Arabidopsis thaliana: one gene and its partner. The protein of the gene in region 1 purifies or fractionates together with the protein of each later gene. This does not show direct contact. Each region holds a gene or a part of one and is shown on either strand. Other genes may lie near its edges.

Evidence for each region.
Region 2: the proteins of AT3G02200 (region 1) and TPLATE fractionate together in Arabidopsis thaliana (co-fractionation; one large-scale study listed by BioGRID). This does not show direct contact.

Annotation. Positions count from the first base shown.
Region 1 is NC_003074.8:402,802-410,265, reverse strand, and holds AT3G02200 (Proteasome component (PCI) domain protein), read right to left. Parts: upstream 3,679-7,464; 5' UTR 3,575-3,678; coding exon 3,482-3,574; intron 3,206-3,481; coding exon 3,076-3,205; intron 2,986-3,075; coding exon 2,847-2,985; intron 2,764-2,846; coding exon 2,551-2,763; intron 2,432-2,550; coding exon 2,293-2,431; intron 2,198-2,292; coding exon 2,047-2,197; intron 1,975-2,046; coding exon 1,865-1,974; intron 1,787-1,864; coding exon 1,689-1,786; coding exon of another isoform or gene 1,685-1,688; intron 1,609-1,684; coding exon 1,539-1,608; intron 1,458-1,538; coding exon 1,347-1,457; 3' UTR 1,066-1,346; downstream 1-1,065. Other genes in the region: COBL1 (COBRA-like protein 1 precursor), read left to right, coding at 20-176, 258-538, 625-914; AT3G02190 (Ribosomal protein L39 family protein), read left to right, coding at 3,924-3,926, 4,017-4,120, 4,213-4,261; SP1L3 (SPIRAL1-like3), read right to left, coding at 4,809-4,907, 5,008-5,277.
Region 2 is NC_003074.8:274,965-282,428, forward strand, and holds the start of TPLATE (ARM repeat superfamily protein), read left to right. Parts: upstream 1-3,917; 5' UTR 3,918-4,206; coding exon 4,207-5,340; intron 5,341-5,444; coding exon 5,445-6,041; intron 6,042-6,209; coding exon 6,210-6,571; intron 6,572-6,659; coding exon 6,660-6,963; intron 6,964-7,065; coding exon 7,066-7,188; intron 7,189-7,345; coding exon 7,346-7,464. Other genes in the region: AT3G01760 (Transmembrane amino acid transporter family protein), read left to right, coding at 38-106, 184-306; BET10 (bromodomain and extraterminal domain protein 10), read right to left, coding at 618-878, 969-1,090, 1,188-1,254, 1,339-1,454, 1,538-1,621, 2,047-2,130, 2,217-2,265, 2,343-3,422. UniProt on the Arabidopsis thaliana protein: Functions in vesicle-trafficking events required for site-specific cell wall modifications during pollen germination and for anchoring of the cell plate to the mother wall at the correct cortical position.

The DNA of each region.
Region 1 (7,464 bases):
TCTTTTTCTGCTGTGACAGTGACTTGGAATGTAACTTGCACATACTCGCAGTTCTTAGCTCAGAAAACACCAACTTGCTGTGTATCTCTTTCATCGTTTTATAACAAGACAATAGTTTCTTGTCCAACATGCTCTTGTGGATGCAGAAACACTTCTCAGCCAGGGAATTGTGTAGAGTAAGTTCTTCTCATAACTTTCATTACCTGAAAATATGTTAACTTGTTTGGTTAATTTTGGTGTCTTGTCTGTCCACACAGCCCAAAAGGTCCACGGATAGCATCAGTCATTCCAAATCCGGGGAAGAACGCATATATACCGCCTCTGGTCCAATGTACAAAGCATATGTGTCCAGTTAGAATCCACTGGCATGTGAAAGTCAACTACAAACAGTACTGGAGAGTTAAAGTCACCATCACAAATTTCAACTACAACATGAACTATTCACAGTGGAATCTCGTCGTGCAGCATCCGAATTTCGACAATCTAACTCAGACTTTTAGCTTCAACTATAAACCTCTGACTCCTTATGCTTCCATAAGTAAGTACACCATCATCTATCAGTCCCTTGTTTCTATAGAAAGGAACAAATCTTGATGTGTTTTTTTTGTTTTTGATTTGATATAGATGATACTGGGATTCTCTGGGGAATAAAGTTCTACAATGATCTGTTGATGCAAGCTGGGCCATTTGGTAATGTACAATCTGAGCTACTTTTCCAGAAAGAAGCATCAGCTTTCACATTTGAGAAAGGTTGGGCGTTTCCAAGAAGAATCTATTTCAATGGAGATAACTGTGTGATGCCTCCTCCTGATTCTTACCCTTGGCTGCCCAATACCGGCTCGCACAAATCAGTCGGTTCCCTGTTTGCAGCAATGGCCTTGTTACTGATTGTGTTCCTACATGGAAACTTGTAAGAATCATCAAGTGTAGAATTCTTCTGCTGCAGTTTTTCGAACTGATATAACCCATCAAGAGAGAGTTGGTAGCTTAGTTTTTTGTGTTCTCTCTTGTCTGTCCTCTTCCTGTACAACGCTTTAATATTAGATGGTTAACTAGATCCCCTTGAAAATGGCTACCACTTCTTTGTTCTCTATCTCCATGTTGGGAAGTAAAAGATATTCAGTATAAACTTTTGAAATAGTGTGTAGCATCAAGTTAAGAAACATTACTAGCAAAAAATAATGTATAGGAAAAGTCTCCGCATATGTTTCAGGGACAAAAAAAAGATTCAAAGATCAAAAAAACCCTGCAGCCAAATACACAGAGAAAAAGCTTTAAGGAAGACAAAAGATTCGTTATAGAATTGAGCTTCTCTGGGGATGAAACGGTTTTTCTTGATAGCTTTTTCAACGAACACTCAAGCCTTGAATAGCTGCAGCAGATGATGATGATGCCTGAGAACCTTCCTCCGTTACCTTATTCGATTCGATGGTAGTTATGATACTTGAAATGTTGTCCTACACAACCACACATAAGAATCAGATTCAGGAGATGTTTTGTAATAAAATTCTGTAATAAGTGAAAGCTTTTGTAGTTACCTTCCAAGTCGCAAGCTTTGTTCGGAGAGATTGCCATTGCTTTGTCCCAAATTCACGTTCGGAAGAGCGGCTGTAAGATATGAATCAAACCATCAAATAATGAATGTTGCGTTTAGATAAGTGCAGAGTTTCAATAGATGTGTGACTTGCCTGACAATTAAAACTTGGTTCATCTGATCCATCTTACACTCAATCAGTTTTGCAGTTATTGCCTTCACGATCCATAACTCGACATCCTGTTCATTTACCTGAAAACGAAAAGAAAAATGAGAAACTAAAAGGGTCTCAATATTTCATGTTAAGTGCAAGCAGAGGAGAGTTTTTACCTGAAGAGTGTCTTTAATCGAGGTGTAAGGTATTTTGCCAGATTCATCTGAGGCCAAATCCACTAGTGACAACAACCTCATCTTCGTAACACAATCTTCATTGGAAAGTCCTAGAAACACCACAGGATTCATCAGGAGATCATATTTCAGCAAAAACAGTTAGTGAGTTAACAATGTAGTACCATAGCTTTGCAGAAATCCCGAATTTGCATTTTGGAATTCCGTGTAGGCATTTAACCTCTGAGTAAGAAAAATCTTCAGAAGTTGGTAAACAGGTGCATATTTAGCATCCTTTTCCAATTGTGCTACGGCTGGCAAGTCCAATAAATCACACTGCAAGATTTAAGATTGCCATCGTTGAAATTCCAATCAAATATAAAAGAGCAGTGTCAGGACAAGAAAGACAAATCCAATTCACATTATGATACCTGGAAAATACTGGAAGCTTTGACAAATTCGATAACTGCACGCACAGCCTCCTCCTTGGCTTCATCCAGGACCTGAGCATCCTCATTGGAGAAAGTTGCTAGGTACTTCGTCAAGAACTTAAGGGATTCATTCACCAAGCTGGAGTATTAATAGAAAAAACCATGAGGCTATTGTTATACCCAAACGGAAACAAAAAAAGAAAGAGACAGAGAATGACTGATGAGCATAGTTATAAAGTATAAATTATGTTTCAATACCTTTTGTTTTCTTTCAGCACATTAGCAATGGCAAGAAAGAGTTCCCTCTGATCTTTAATGTCAATATTCCACTCTTTCAGAAAGTTATCGATCTTCTTAAAAGAAGAAACTATGTACTCAGTAACCTTCCCATCAACAGCTAGTGTAAGAGCTTTCATGTATACTTGAAATCGAGCATACGGGTGGTCAACCAGGTTATAGAGATTGAAGAGGCTACACAAAGATTAAGACAAAAAAAAAATGAGAAGTGTGATAAATGAGCAAAGCATTCAGAAATAAGCAGAAACGATTCATACATCTTCAAACGAAGTGAAGCTTTGTCACTGGGTTGTTGAGCAACCTTGGAAGCTATAGCTTTCACCATTTCAAGGACTTGCTCAGGGCTTTTCGCATTCTTGACAATGCTGCAAATGATGGTGTAGGTACACTCAAGATCTGAATTAAAAAAAGATGCAAATCACTGAGAATTGAATACTCGAAAGACATACAAAATAAACAGGTATAAGTAAGAATAGGAACACAAACCTTTCTCAGATATCTTAGAAGATACCAATTCAGCTGAAGTGACCATTAACGAAGACAATTCAAGCCACTTCTCTGCTACCATTGACTCCTCAGCCTCCCTACAGAGCCTGGTAATTTCTGGCTCTGCTGCCTAAAATTTGAAACGATAACTAGTTAAGTACAGGCAAGCCTTGAAAACTTAAGAAGTCGCTTAATGAAACTAATCTTAGATGGTTGAACTAATCGGATGCATCAGAATCCTCAAAGATTACAAACTATTCTAGTCCAGAAACTATCAACAAACCCTTCCATAACCAATCAGATTCTTCGAACGAAACAACATATACCAGATCAAATTTCCCATCTCACTTAAGATAGACATTCTTAAATTCCCACTATAAATTCACAACCAAGGTGTGGAGGTTACCTCGGGACCAGCATCGGCCCAGGCGAGCTGGGAAGTGAATCGGACAACAGCGAGAAAGGGATTTTCTTCGGAGGTGGGAACAATCGTCGTCATAGCTTAGCTCCGGTTTCGAATCTTCTCGGCTGCGCTGAAGAACAAATGCACCACAATTACAACTTGTTTCAGCAGCCGACCAGCAGAGACAAGAGAGAGAGAAGAAAATGAAACCCTAAATCTCTATATTTTTTTCTTTTCCGGTTAAAGGTAACCGGAACCGAATACGATTCCTAAATTAACGGTTTACCTATCTGACGGCTAATAAATTATGAGAAAACTCCAACGGTCAGGATTGAGCTCTAGTCCACAACCCTTATAAAAATCGATTTCTTCCTCAGTTAACATTTGAGAAGATTAGGGTTTAAACGCTGCCGTGTTCCGCCGGATCGCCACCGTTGAAGTCAAGATGGTACTTTTACTCTCTCCCTCTCTGTATCCTTTGTTCTATCTCTCTTAAATATTTCCTTCGCCTGATCGATTTCATGGTCTCTGATATTAGCCGTCGCACAAGTCGTTCATGATCAAAAAGAAGCTAGGGAAGAAGATGAGACAGAACAGACCGATCCCTAATTGGATCCGTCTCCGTACTGATAACAAAATCAGGTTTATAGATTTTCGTAAACTTTTTTCATTCGATCCGTGAAAAAGTTGCAGACTTTGATACTGAGTTCCATTGTTCCATCACCTTCACACAGGTACAACGCTAAGCGTAGGCACTGGCGCCGTACCAAGCTAGGATTCTAGAGCACTCTCACCGTGACTCAGATTCGTCCGAGTTTCTTAATTGCTTTCTTGTATCGGAATTGTGGTCTTTGACCCCTAAAAGTTTTAGTTTTTTGTTAAGGATTTTGTGGCTTATAGCTATGTTTAAATCTTAGAACTTGAAGAAGAGTGCATGATTATGAATTATAATAGTTGAATCCTTTCTCCTACAATTGGTCGTTGATTTGACTCTGTTTCTTTCTACTCTATGATAAAACGTAAGTATATGGCTGAATTCGAATCATTTCTCCTACGATTGATCAGAGCTTTGAACATGGCTGATTCAACGCAAGATCTTGTGGGCATTGTTTGTTTCATTTGATATAGATCTCTTGGTTGATCAGTACTTAGTTTATTTTCTTGGAACTCTTAAAGAGAACATTGTCTGAAAATTCCTTTTAACAAGACAAAGAAGAGAACAAAAGGCAAACATCACAATTGAATCACACAGGGTTCACTAAGGGATAAAAGCCAACACTTTTGATGATTTACACGAATCTGAATAGTGGGAAAAAAACTACAAGTAACTTCATTTGTTTCCAGATCCAGCAGGACTTGGTCCTCCAAACAGATAATCAAGAGAAGATCCTCCACCAGGAGCTGCATGAACCTTAGTAGATGGCCTGTCCTGTTCTCATCAACAAACATTTTTGGTTTTTATCAGTTTCCAAATCAAAAGTCAATTCTTTGATCTCAAAACTTTGTAAAGACTAAAGATCTCCTGTTACCGTGAGAAAGTTTCCACAGTTTTGGCCTTCTGATCTGAAGTAATTATTAGGACTTCCTCTAACACCTGCAGATGTCTTCTTGTTATCAGTGACTGTGGTCGTCGTGGTGGTTATCGGTCTGCCTCCGGTCCCATCGGTGGTAGTTGTGGTGGTTGTAGTAGTAGTAGTCCCCATTGTGGCAGCAGCAGCGGAAGAAGGCTGGCCGGAACCAAAAAGATAACCGAGAGAACTTTCATTCACGCCATTGTTCACTCCTCTTGCTTTACCCATCTTGTCAAGATCTGAATTTTGAAAATGTTTTATTAAGTTTGTTTATTTATCAGATCAGATCAGATCAGTTAAATGTGAGCAAGAAGATCCCAAAAAAGATTATCATTGAATCATTAAAGACACGTAATAAGAGAGATCTAAAGGATTGATTTTTATTTACCTCTCTCTGTCTCTGTAGTGTATCTTCTGCTTTCTCTACTTCTTGTTCTATGATTGGCCGATAATCAAGGAAGAGAAACAGATGGAATATGGATATGCACCGAGAGGAAAATGAGGAACACAAAAAGTATCTCGAATGGGCTTATACGGGCTTTGATTTGGGCTTTTGGTAATTCCATAGACATAGAACAAAGTTTCATAGGTTGTAGGAATAATTTTGGGCTTATGTAATTCTATAGACATGCATGACGAAGAACTTTTTTGAAATAACATGCATGGAGGAGGCAATTTCTAAGAAGAAGCAAAAGTAGGCGAGAATAATGAGACGCATTTTCATTTGATAATTTCTGACACGAAAGAAGAAACTTAACCACATTGTGTGAACCCATGACTTTGAGGATCATGCATCATCAGAGTTTGTACGATTTCATCATCCTACGGACGAGATTTCCTCGTTGACTTCTCTGAAGATTTTAGGTGATGTTGAAAGATGGCAATGACGACACATGAAACTGAAGTCTCAAATCTCCCTTTGAATCTCTCTTTTGCTTTTACATTTTGCGCCAGTTCTTCTTCTATTTTTAATTAGTACAATTTTTTTTGTTAAAGTGTGATTCCTATATCGTTTACATATTTTATATATACGTGAATGTGAATATCATCATCAATTAGGAATGAAAGTTTAGTTTACAAAAACGCTTTTAAGGCAGAATAGTTGCTTGCCAACGAAAAAAAAAAACAATCTGTTACTAATAAGTTTGTGATCTTTAGTCATAGTTTTTTTTTTTTCAAAGCATGTTCAATGTGTAGTGTGGGCTAGGGAAGAACATTCAATATTTAAAATGTTAAAAAGTCAAAAGAAAAATCTTCTGTTTCTTTCATTACATGACATTGATTATCAATTTTATTGGCAAGGATAATAAGAAGATAAGAAAAAAAGAAAAAAAAAAGTTCTAGCACTTGTTATCGGCAGAGAAAGTATATGATACTCTTACATGGTTTCCATACTTCATCTTTTGTAATTGCAGTACCCCACATTTTGCTGTGTAATTGTGCATTTTATTCTTTTCATATTATGGTTACATTCTTTTTCCCATGTGTTGAACAAAAGTATTATTTTAAGGAAATTTCGAGAAAATGAGATTTTAACAAACTCCAAGGTACATGAACTTGAGAGACCTTATGGGTTTAGAGAGTTAAGGCCCATCTGATTGACGCAACTCAATAAGATTTTTCTTCTGGTATATTGGAACCTAACGAAATATATAGGAGAATAGTATTAGTACGTATATTGGAACCAAATAATATATATAAAATATGAGTCAGTCTCTTTGTTACCAAATATTCTTGAGCTCGAAATCATAAACCTTAACATTTACGTTTTGGTGTTAACTAAGACCAACGTCAATTAAAGACCGATGAGCGATGACATTACAATAGGGACTGTTATTGGAACTTTTTCTTTTTATTTTGGGTCTTCCCTAATATTAGATCCGTCGCATGTGACATAAATTTTAATAGTTATAACTAACGTAATCATGATGAAGAAAGGAATCTTGACTAAGCTCCTCATTTAACTATCTAAATCTTTAGTGATGTATAGATTTAATAATAAACTTCATTGTTTTTAGGACGAAAGATGAATCATTTTCAGCTTGTAGTTTGTTACTTTTAGTTTTCTAAAAGCACATTTAAGTAAATAGTATAGAGTATAATTGATGTCTATACAAGTCAGTGAATACAAATTTAGACAAATATGTGGGCATAAACAAAGCCAGAGAAATCGTACTAATGATTTGTGATACGTTATTTTTCTTATAAGTTTTTTTTTTTTTTTTTTTTTTTTTTTACTTCTTAGGCATTAATAGAAGAACTATATAAAATTACTCCCCTGAAAAGAAAGATCATTAGATCTAACGAACAAATTATGTATGACTTGAATGCTCTTATATCTATCAAATGTTTGTTATTAAAACTATTATAAATTTTTATACAATGATATGTGTATGTAAAAGCATAATTATGCAA
Region 2 (7,464 bases), 130 kb from region 1:
ATAACTCTAACAAACATAATGATATGTTATCTTTCAGATCCCATGCATCATGTGGCTGATCCTAAAGAAACCAAAGAGATTTAGTCTCTCATGGTGTATGAACTGGGTAAGATGTTTGTAGTCCTCAGATCAAAAGCTAAATATGACACTTACAGCTAAGTTAAATCTTTTTTTTTGGAGCAGTTTTGCATCATTTTTGGGCTTGTGCTGATGATCATAGCACCTATTGGGGGACTGGCCAAACTAATCTATAATATTCAAAAGGGCACTCTACCTAATTCAAGATGCAACTTACCTAAACACTGACGATTGCCTTGTAGGTAACATAAATTGGTTGGACGCAACAATTTCGCTGGTACTAGAGTCTAGAGGCTCTATTACCAAACTCGAGTGTAAATCTATAGAATTAACTCTGAGACATGCTCCCTCTCTCTCTCGGTGCTGTCGGTCATTGGTTTATTGAATTAACCAAAATTTTACTCACTACACAAAGTGTTATTGATTGTTTACTCGGATAAAATGCCATCGCATTGGTTAAATATCAATCTAACTATCATTTTTTACAACAACTCATGTACACTTGACTGCTGTTATCCAAGACACAACACTCATGAATCTCAGTCGATTTCACCCTCTTCTACTTCATTGCCGGGATCTGGAAACGCAAGCATGTCGGATTCATCTTCATCCTCCTCATGTTTCATAAATAGCCCCAGCTGCTCTAGAGGATTACTTCCTCCAAACCCAAATACAGCCAACCCATCAGACTCAGAGCCAACATCTCTTAGATTTCGTAACTGGTCCGTGTTAACCGTTTTGAGCAGTTCTAGGTCCTTGAGAAACCTTGTGTTCTCATTTATTTCAACCGACTTCTCCATCTGGTGTACCATTCAGTCATGGCAATGATCAATATACATGTATTGCAGTTTATAAAACCAAACTGGTACAAGGCAGCAATTTTGATTTACCTCAAGCAATGCCTGCCGGGCTGCTTCTCTTTCAAGTTCCAGTTTCCTCTTAGCCTCTTGTGCCTCAGCTTTTCTACGAGCTTCTTCAGCTTCCTTGGCTTCTGCTTGTAACCGTGCTTTTTCTGGTGCACAAAACAATAAGAGGACAAGTTTATGTACGTATATACTACTTGGTATATATCATCAATCAAAAAATCGAAACTAGCAAATCAAGAATACCTTTCTTCTTTTGCAATTCCAGTTCTTCCTTCTCACGTTGCAGTGTCTCTGGGTCTCGTTTCTCATTCTGATCTCACAAATATAATTTTGAAAGTCAAAGAGGGAGGGCTAACCAGATATAACAGCTCACACCTCCACAAACACAGCTAACCTGATTAAGAGTTATCTCTTGAGCCTTCAAGATTATATCCGCAAATCGATTTTTCAATAGAGCAGCCCTGTAACGCTTTTCTGGAGGTAGTTCCTTCTCTTTTGGAGCACTATTTCCTAAATTATTAATGGGTCAAGAGTGAGATGCCACCCTCAGATATTAGAGCACAGATATTTTTCTGCTACACTTCTGAGCTTACCATCTTGATGACCATCTGCCCCCTCAATAAGACTTAGCTTCCCTCTGGATGCATCTTCCATCTGATTCAATCCACCGACGGAATCTGCTTTTAGAAAGGGAATAAGAAAACCAAGGTTTATTAATTAATATCAACAAAACTTAACATCTTTTGCACCAAAAGAGGAGTAATCACTGATTAGAGATAATATGATCACTATAGAAAATAGCAAACAGCGACCTGGGAGTAAAACAAGCAGAAAATGTAACAGGTCTATCACTATCATACTAGGTGTGTAATATGAGTTGCTATCAGTAAGGTCAGTAAGTTTCACTCCAAAAAAACTACAGAAGTAACATTGAGTATTCTAGATGGACGGCCACTTCTGACAAGAGGGAAGTAAAATGGTTCCGAGGGTTAAGTACATATAAGAATTGCAAACATCAAACGTCTGCAAAAGCTCCATAGAGAAAAAGACAAATACAATGTAGCAAGATTAAACAAACCACTGTAGTTCTCTAACGCCATACCTTTTTCTGTTCTGACAGTTGAGATGTGAGATATAGGGTGCTCATAATTACCAATGTCAACATCCTCGTCCTCCAATTCACTCCCTGCAAGTAACGAGGAGGAAATGACAGCTTAATCATAGAGTAGGACATGCGAATTAGCTCAAACAACAAAACCAGTGTATGCTAACCATCACAGTGTTGCGTCAATGAATTTCCTGGCCCTGACCCATGTAAAAGCTACATCAAGAAAGTTTTCGCTGTTTATCAGTCATGTTAACAAATGGATCAAGAATGAGATATAGAAAGGTGATTACCTCTAACACACAGGGTTCACCGTTTGAATCTTTCTTTTGATTTTCTCGCAGAAACTCATCAAAGAGATCCCGCAACTGGAACAAGGCATCATGACTGAGATCATTGATGTCAATCTCTATCTCATCATCTCCAGATCTCTCTTCCTTGGAGCTGTGATCTCTCAGGAAATTTATTATCTGTACAGGGAATTCTGTCAAGGACCCCAAATCTCTGCCAAGCTTTACTCTATCCTCATCTGTCATAACCCGCTTAGCAGGCTCTAAGAGGCTGTTACGTTTCACAGCATTCATCTTTCTCTTCTTAGCCACAGGCTCAGGTATCGCAATATCTTTGTGAGCAAGAGTAGCCAAGTTACTTGGTTCAGATTTGGTTCCGGATGACTTCTTCTCGATAGTTTTCCATCTCACTTCAAAAAACTTGCTGAGAGTATCAGCGAAGCGATACACATTATTATCTGACGGGTTATAAGTCATAGCATTGCGGAAAGTAAGACGGACATCAGCAGAAAACTCTGAAGGGCTTGAATACGTGCCGGAAGTTAACTTGCTTTTAACAGTTCCTAAATCCATAGGATGTTTGATAATGGTGAAATAATCAGGAATGTTGAGCTTGACGACGTCCACAGGGGTATTAAAGAGCCAACAATGCTGCTGCGACATCAATCGTTTAAGGAGGCTCTCACATTGCTTCATCCGAAGCATAGTGGAAGTGGTGACTGGCTCTGGTTTGGTTGCTGTGAAGGGGAGCACCCTTTTTCCAGGGCCAGTAGAGCATCGTGACATTCCAAAACTCTTGGGGCGAGACACATTACTTGCAGGTGTACTAGTAACAATCTTAGATATAGGAAGAAGGTCCCCAACACTCTTCTGAAAGGACCGTAGTTGTTCCAGCTCCTGACGAAGCGTATGAATCCACTTTCTCCTTTCTGATGATGACAAGTCAGACAAGGGTAAAACTATTCTCGGGACACCAAAAGTTTCATCATCCTTGGAAGCATTGGGGCTATCATCACAGCCGCCGGGAGAGTCAAAACTGTTACGATTATAATCTCCTGGGAAACCACCGTTCCTCACAGTCATGATATCGCCCACCGAAGTGCGAACCTGCACAAATCAAAATATTTAAGTCAGTTTTGAGAAACCCTAACTATGAAAACCTGAAAGCAATTCAATTCTTAGAGCCCTATAGTATTGCTGGAGGAGAGCAGTGAACACTCAATATGCATAAAAAAGGAAATTCGGAACTAACCAACTCGAAACACTTAGCAAGCGATCGAACCGGAGCAGAAGTAAGAGAACCGAGGAACAAGCGTAAATCTTCTCCAGCAGAAACAGATTAACGCTAGAGATTGGTGTAGAAGATGATGATGAAGAAGAAGATAGAGTAAAACCCTAGAGTGGAGACGAAGAAGACGACCGAGAAGTAGAGAGAGAACAAAATCGCTCTCTGCCCTCCCTTCTCTAGTGTCCCGTCCCTAACGAATGCTGCGTCTAACGCCGTTTTGCTACTGGGCAGGACTCAATCTGGACCGTCGGATCTGATCCCTCGAATTAAAATCGAATGCAAATACTTCGGTGCATAAAAATAATATCCTGGGCTTATAATGTAAAGCCCAATGAACTTTTTAATGTGCCTTTATTGGGTCTACGGATGACTCAACACGGCACGCTGTGAAAGCTCGAATCGCAGGAACGGCACGCGCTTTTTTCCTTCGAAAACAATTTCTTCTCCTTCTTCTTCAATTGATGGTTTGATTTACACATCCTTCTTCTTCCAGTTCCATGTCGCATACGTACACAGATTGACAGCGAAGCTAGTTAGCTCAGATTTTGGATCTCGAATTTCAGTTAATTCGATCCGGTTATGGACATTCTTTTTGCTCAGATCCAGGCGGACCTCCGTTCAAATGACGCGCTTCGCCAGTCATCGGCGCTTCTTCAGGCGCTGCAGCAATCCGCCGCCGGAAGAGATATCTCTGTGATCGCTAAGTCTGCTGTGGAGGAGATTGTTGCTTCTCCGGCTTCAGCTGTTTGTAAGAAGCTGGCATTCGATCTCATCCGATCTACCCGCCTCACTCCGGATCTTTGGGACACCGTTTGCTCAGGTGTCAAAACGGATCTTCATTTTCCGGACCCGGATGTTACCGCCGCTGCCGTCTCCATCCTTGCGGCTCTCCCTGCCTTCTCGCTTCCTAAACTCATCTCTGATTGCAGCTCTGAGATTGCTTCCTGCTTCGATTCTCCATCTGACAACCTTCGTTTTTCCATCACCGAGACACTTGGCTGCATCCTCGCGCGTGATGATCTCGTTACTTTGTGCGAGAACAATGTGGGTCTCCTCGACAAGGTCTCCAACTGGTGGGCTCGGATCGGCCAGAACATGCTCGACAAATCCGACGCCGTCTCCAAGGTTGCCTTTGAGTCCGTCGGCAGACTCTTCCAGGAGTTCGACTCCAAGCGGATGAGCCGTCTTGCTGGCGATAAGCTCGTTGACAGCGAGAACTCCCTCGCCATCAGGTCCAAGTGGGTCTCTTCCATGGTTGACATTGTATGGAGAAAGAGGAGCGCTTTGATGGCTAGGTCTTTAGTCCTTCCTGTCGAAACCTTCAGAGCCACTGTTTTCCCTCTTGTCTTTGCTGTCAAAGCTGTTGCTTCCGGTAGTGTCGAAGTGATTAGACAGCTTTCCAAGGCTTCCTCTGCTGCTGCTGCAGCTAATGCCACCGTTGTGGACTCCAACGCCGAGAAGCTGGTTGGCGTCTCAGATTTGGTTACCCATTTGGCGCCATTCTTGGCTTCCTCTTTGGATCCAGCTTTGATTTTTGAAGTGGGAATTAACATGCTCTACCTGGCAGATGTTGCCGGAGGCAAGCCAGAGTGGGCTTCACAGTCCATTATTGCAATTTTAACACTCTGGGACCGCCAAGAATTTTCCTCTGCTAGAGAGAGTATAGTCAGGGCCGTTGTTACGAACCTGCACTTGCTTGATCTGCATATGCAGGTATGTCGTTTTTTACTTCATTTAAGCTCGGTTAGTTGTGTACCTTTGTCTTGAAGCTGTGGCCTATGATTTCTGAATCATTCTTTTTGGAATTTGTTACGAAGGTTTCGTTGTTTAGAAGACTGCTGCTTATGGTGAGAAACTTGAGAGCAGAATCGGACAGGATGCACGCATTAGCCTGTATCTGTCGGACAGCTCTCTGTGTTCACCTTTTTGCCAGAGAAAGTGCCCGAAGAGGTCAGAAGCCTCTGCCTGGGACAGATATTATTTCTCTCTTTGAAGATGCAAGGATTAAAGATGATCTCAATAGTGTTACCAGTAAGAGCTTATTTCGGGAAGAGCTGGTGGCAATGCTTGTGGAAAGCTGCTTCCAGTTGTCTCTACCTTTGCCTGAACAAAAAAACTCGGGTATGGAGAGCAGAGTGATTGGTGCGTTAGCATATGGTACTGGTTATGGTGCTCTGAACTGGACAGAACCAGCCCTTGAGGTTGTGGAAGTTTGTAGGCCTTGTGTCAAATGGGATTGTGATGGCAGGACGTACGCTGTAGATTGCTATTTGAAATTGCTTGTTAGGCTGTGCCATATCTATGATACCCGTGGAGGAGTGAAGAGGCTGAAAGATGGTGCTTCCCAGGATCAAATATTAAATGAGACACGATTGCAGAACTTGCAACGTGAGCTTGTTAAGGATCTCCAAGAGGTAATTAAGCCTCAGCTGAAAGTTAGAAGTAACCCTTGGCAATTTTCCTCGAAGAATTTTAGTTAGGCTTTCTTAAGTACTATTTAATACTAAATGTGGAGGAGAACTATTGCTTGTGGACTGAAACGTGGTCAATGTCTTATAAAAATCTTGATCTCAATTTGGCAGGTAAATACCCCAAGAATCCTCGGGCGTCTTATATGGACAATCGCAGAACATATTGATCTAGAAGGTCTAGATCCACTTTTAGCTGATGACCCCGATGATCCATTGAATATTATCATAGCAAACATACATAAGGTTCTCTTCAACTTGGATGCCGCTGCTACTACATCGAATAGGCTACAAGATGTTCAGGCAGTCTTATTATGCGCCCAGAGGATGGGATCGCGTCATGCAAGAGCTGGCCAGTTATTAACCAAAGAGCTTGAAGAGTATAGGAACCATGCTGCTGCAGATACAGTTAGCAAACATCAAACCCGTTTAATATTGCAGAGGATCAAATATGTTTCAAATCTTCCTGAAAGAAAGTGAGCTTTCCCTTGGCTTGTAATCCTTTTATTATGTGAGTTTTACTGCATTTCTGGATTGGAACTCAGACAACCTATTATTTTCCAGGTGGGCTGGAGTTAGTGAGACAAGAGGAGATTACCCGTTTAGCCACCATAAGCTTACTGTTCAGTTTTACGAACCATCAGCTGCTCAAGACAGGAAATTAGAAGGTCTAATTCACAAGGCCATTCTCGAGCTTTGGAGGCCAAAGCCCACTGAATTAACTCTCTTCCTTACAAAAGGGGTCGACTCAACTTCTATCAAGGTTCCTCCCACAGCATATCCTTTGACCGGAAGCAGTGATCCTTGCTATATAGAAGCTTACCATTTAGCAGATACAAATGATGGAAGGGTCACTTTGCACTTGAAGGTTGGTATATATTCTACTGTATCATCCTGCAGTTACTTGAATACAGTTTTAGTGGATAAAGTTTTAGCGTCTCAACACCTTATACTTTATGTTACCTTTCAGATTATTAATTTGACAGAACTTGAACTGAATCGTGTGGATATACGGGTTGGATTATCTGGTGCCCTATACTTCATGGATGGCTCTCCTCAAGCAGTGCGGCAGTTGCGTAATCTTGTCTCACAGGTTGCATGTCATTCTTCAGTGCTTATATACTCCCATCTCTTTACAGTTCTCTAATTTCTTAAGTCTTGTCAGTTGGAAACCGTTTCTGTTCTTACCAATCAATCAGTTTCGTATATGTTAGCTGTATTATCATGGACTCTGTGATTTACTTTTGTAGGATCCTGTACAATGCAGTGTCACCGTTGGTGTGTCCCAATTTGAAAGATGTGGTTTCTGGGTTCAAGTCCTCTACTATCCATTCCGTGGTGCTAGGGGAGAATATGACGGTGACTACAT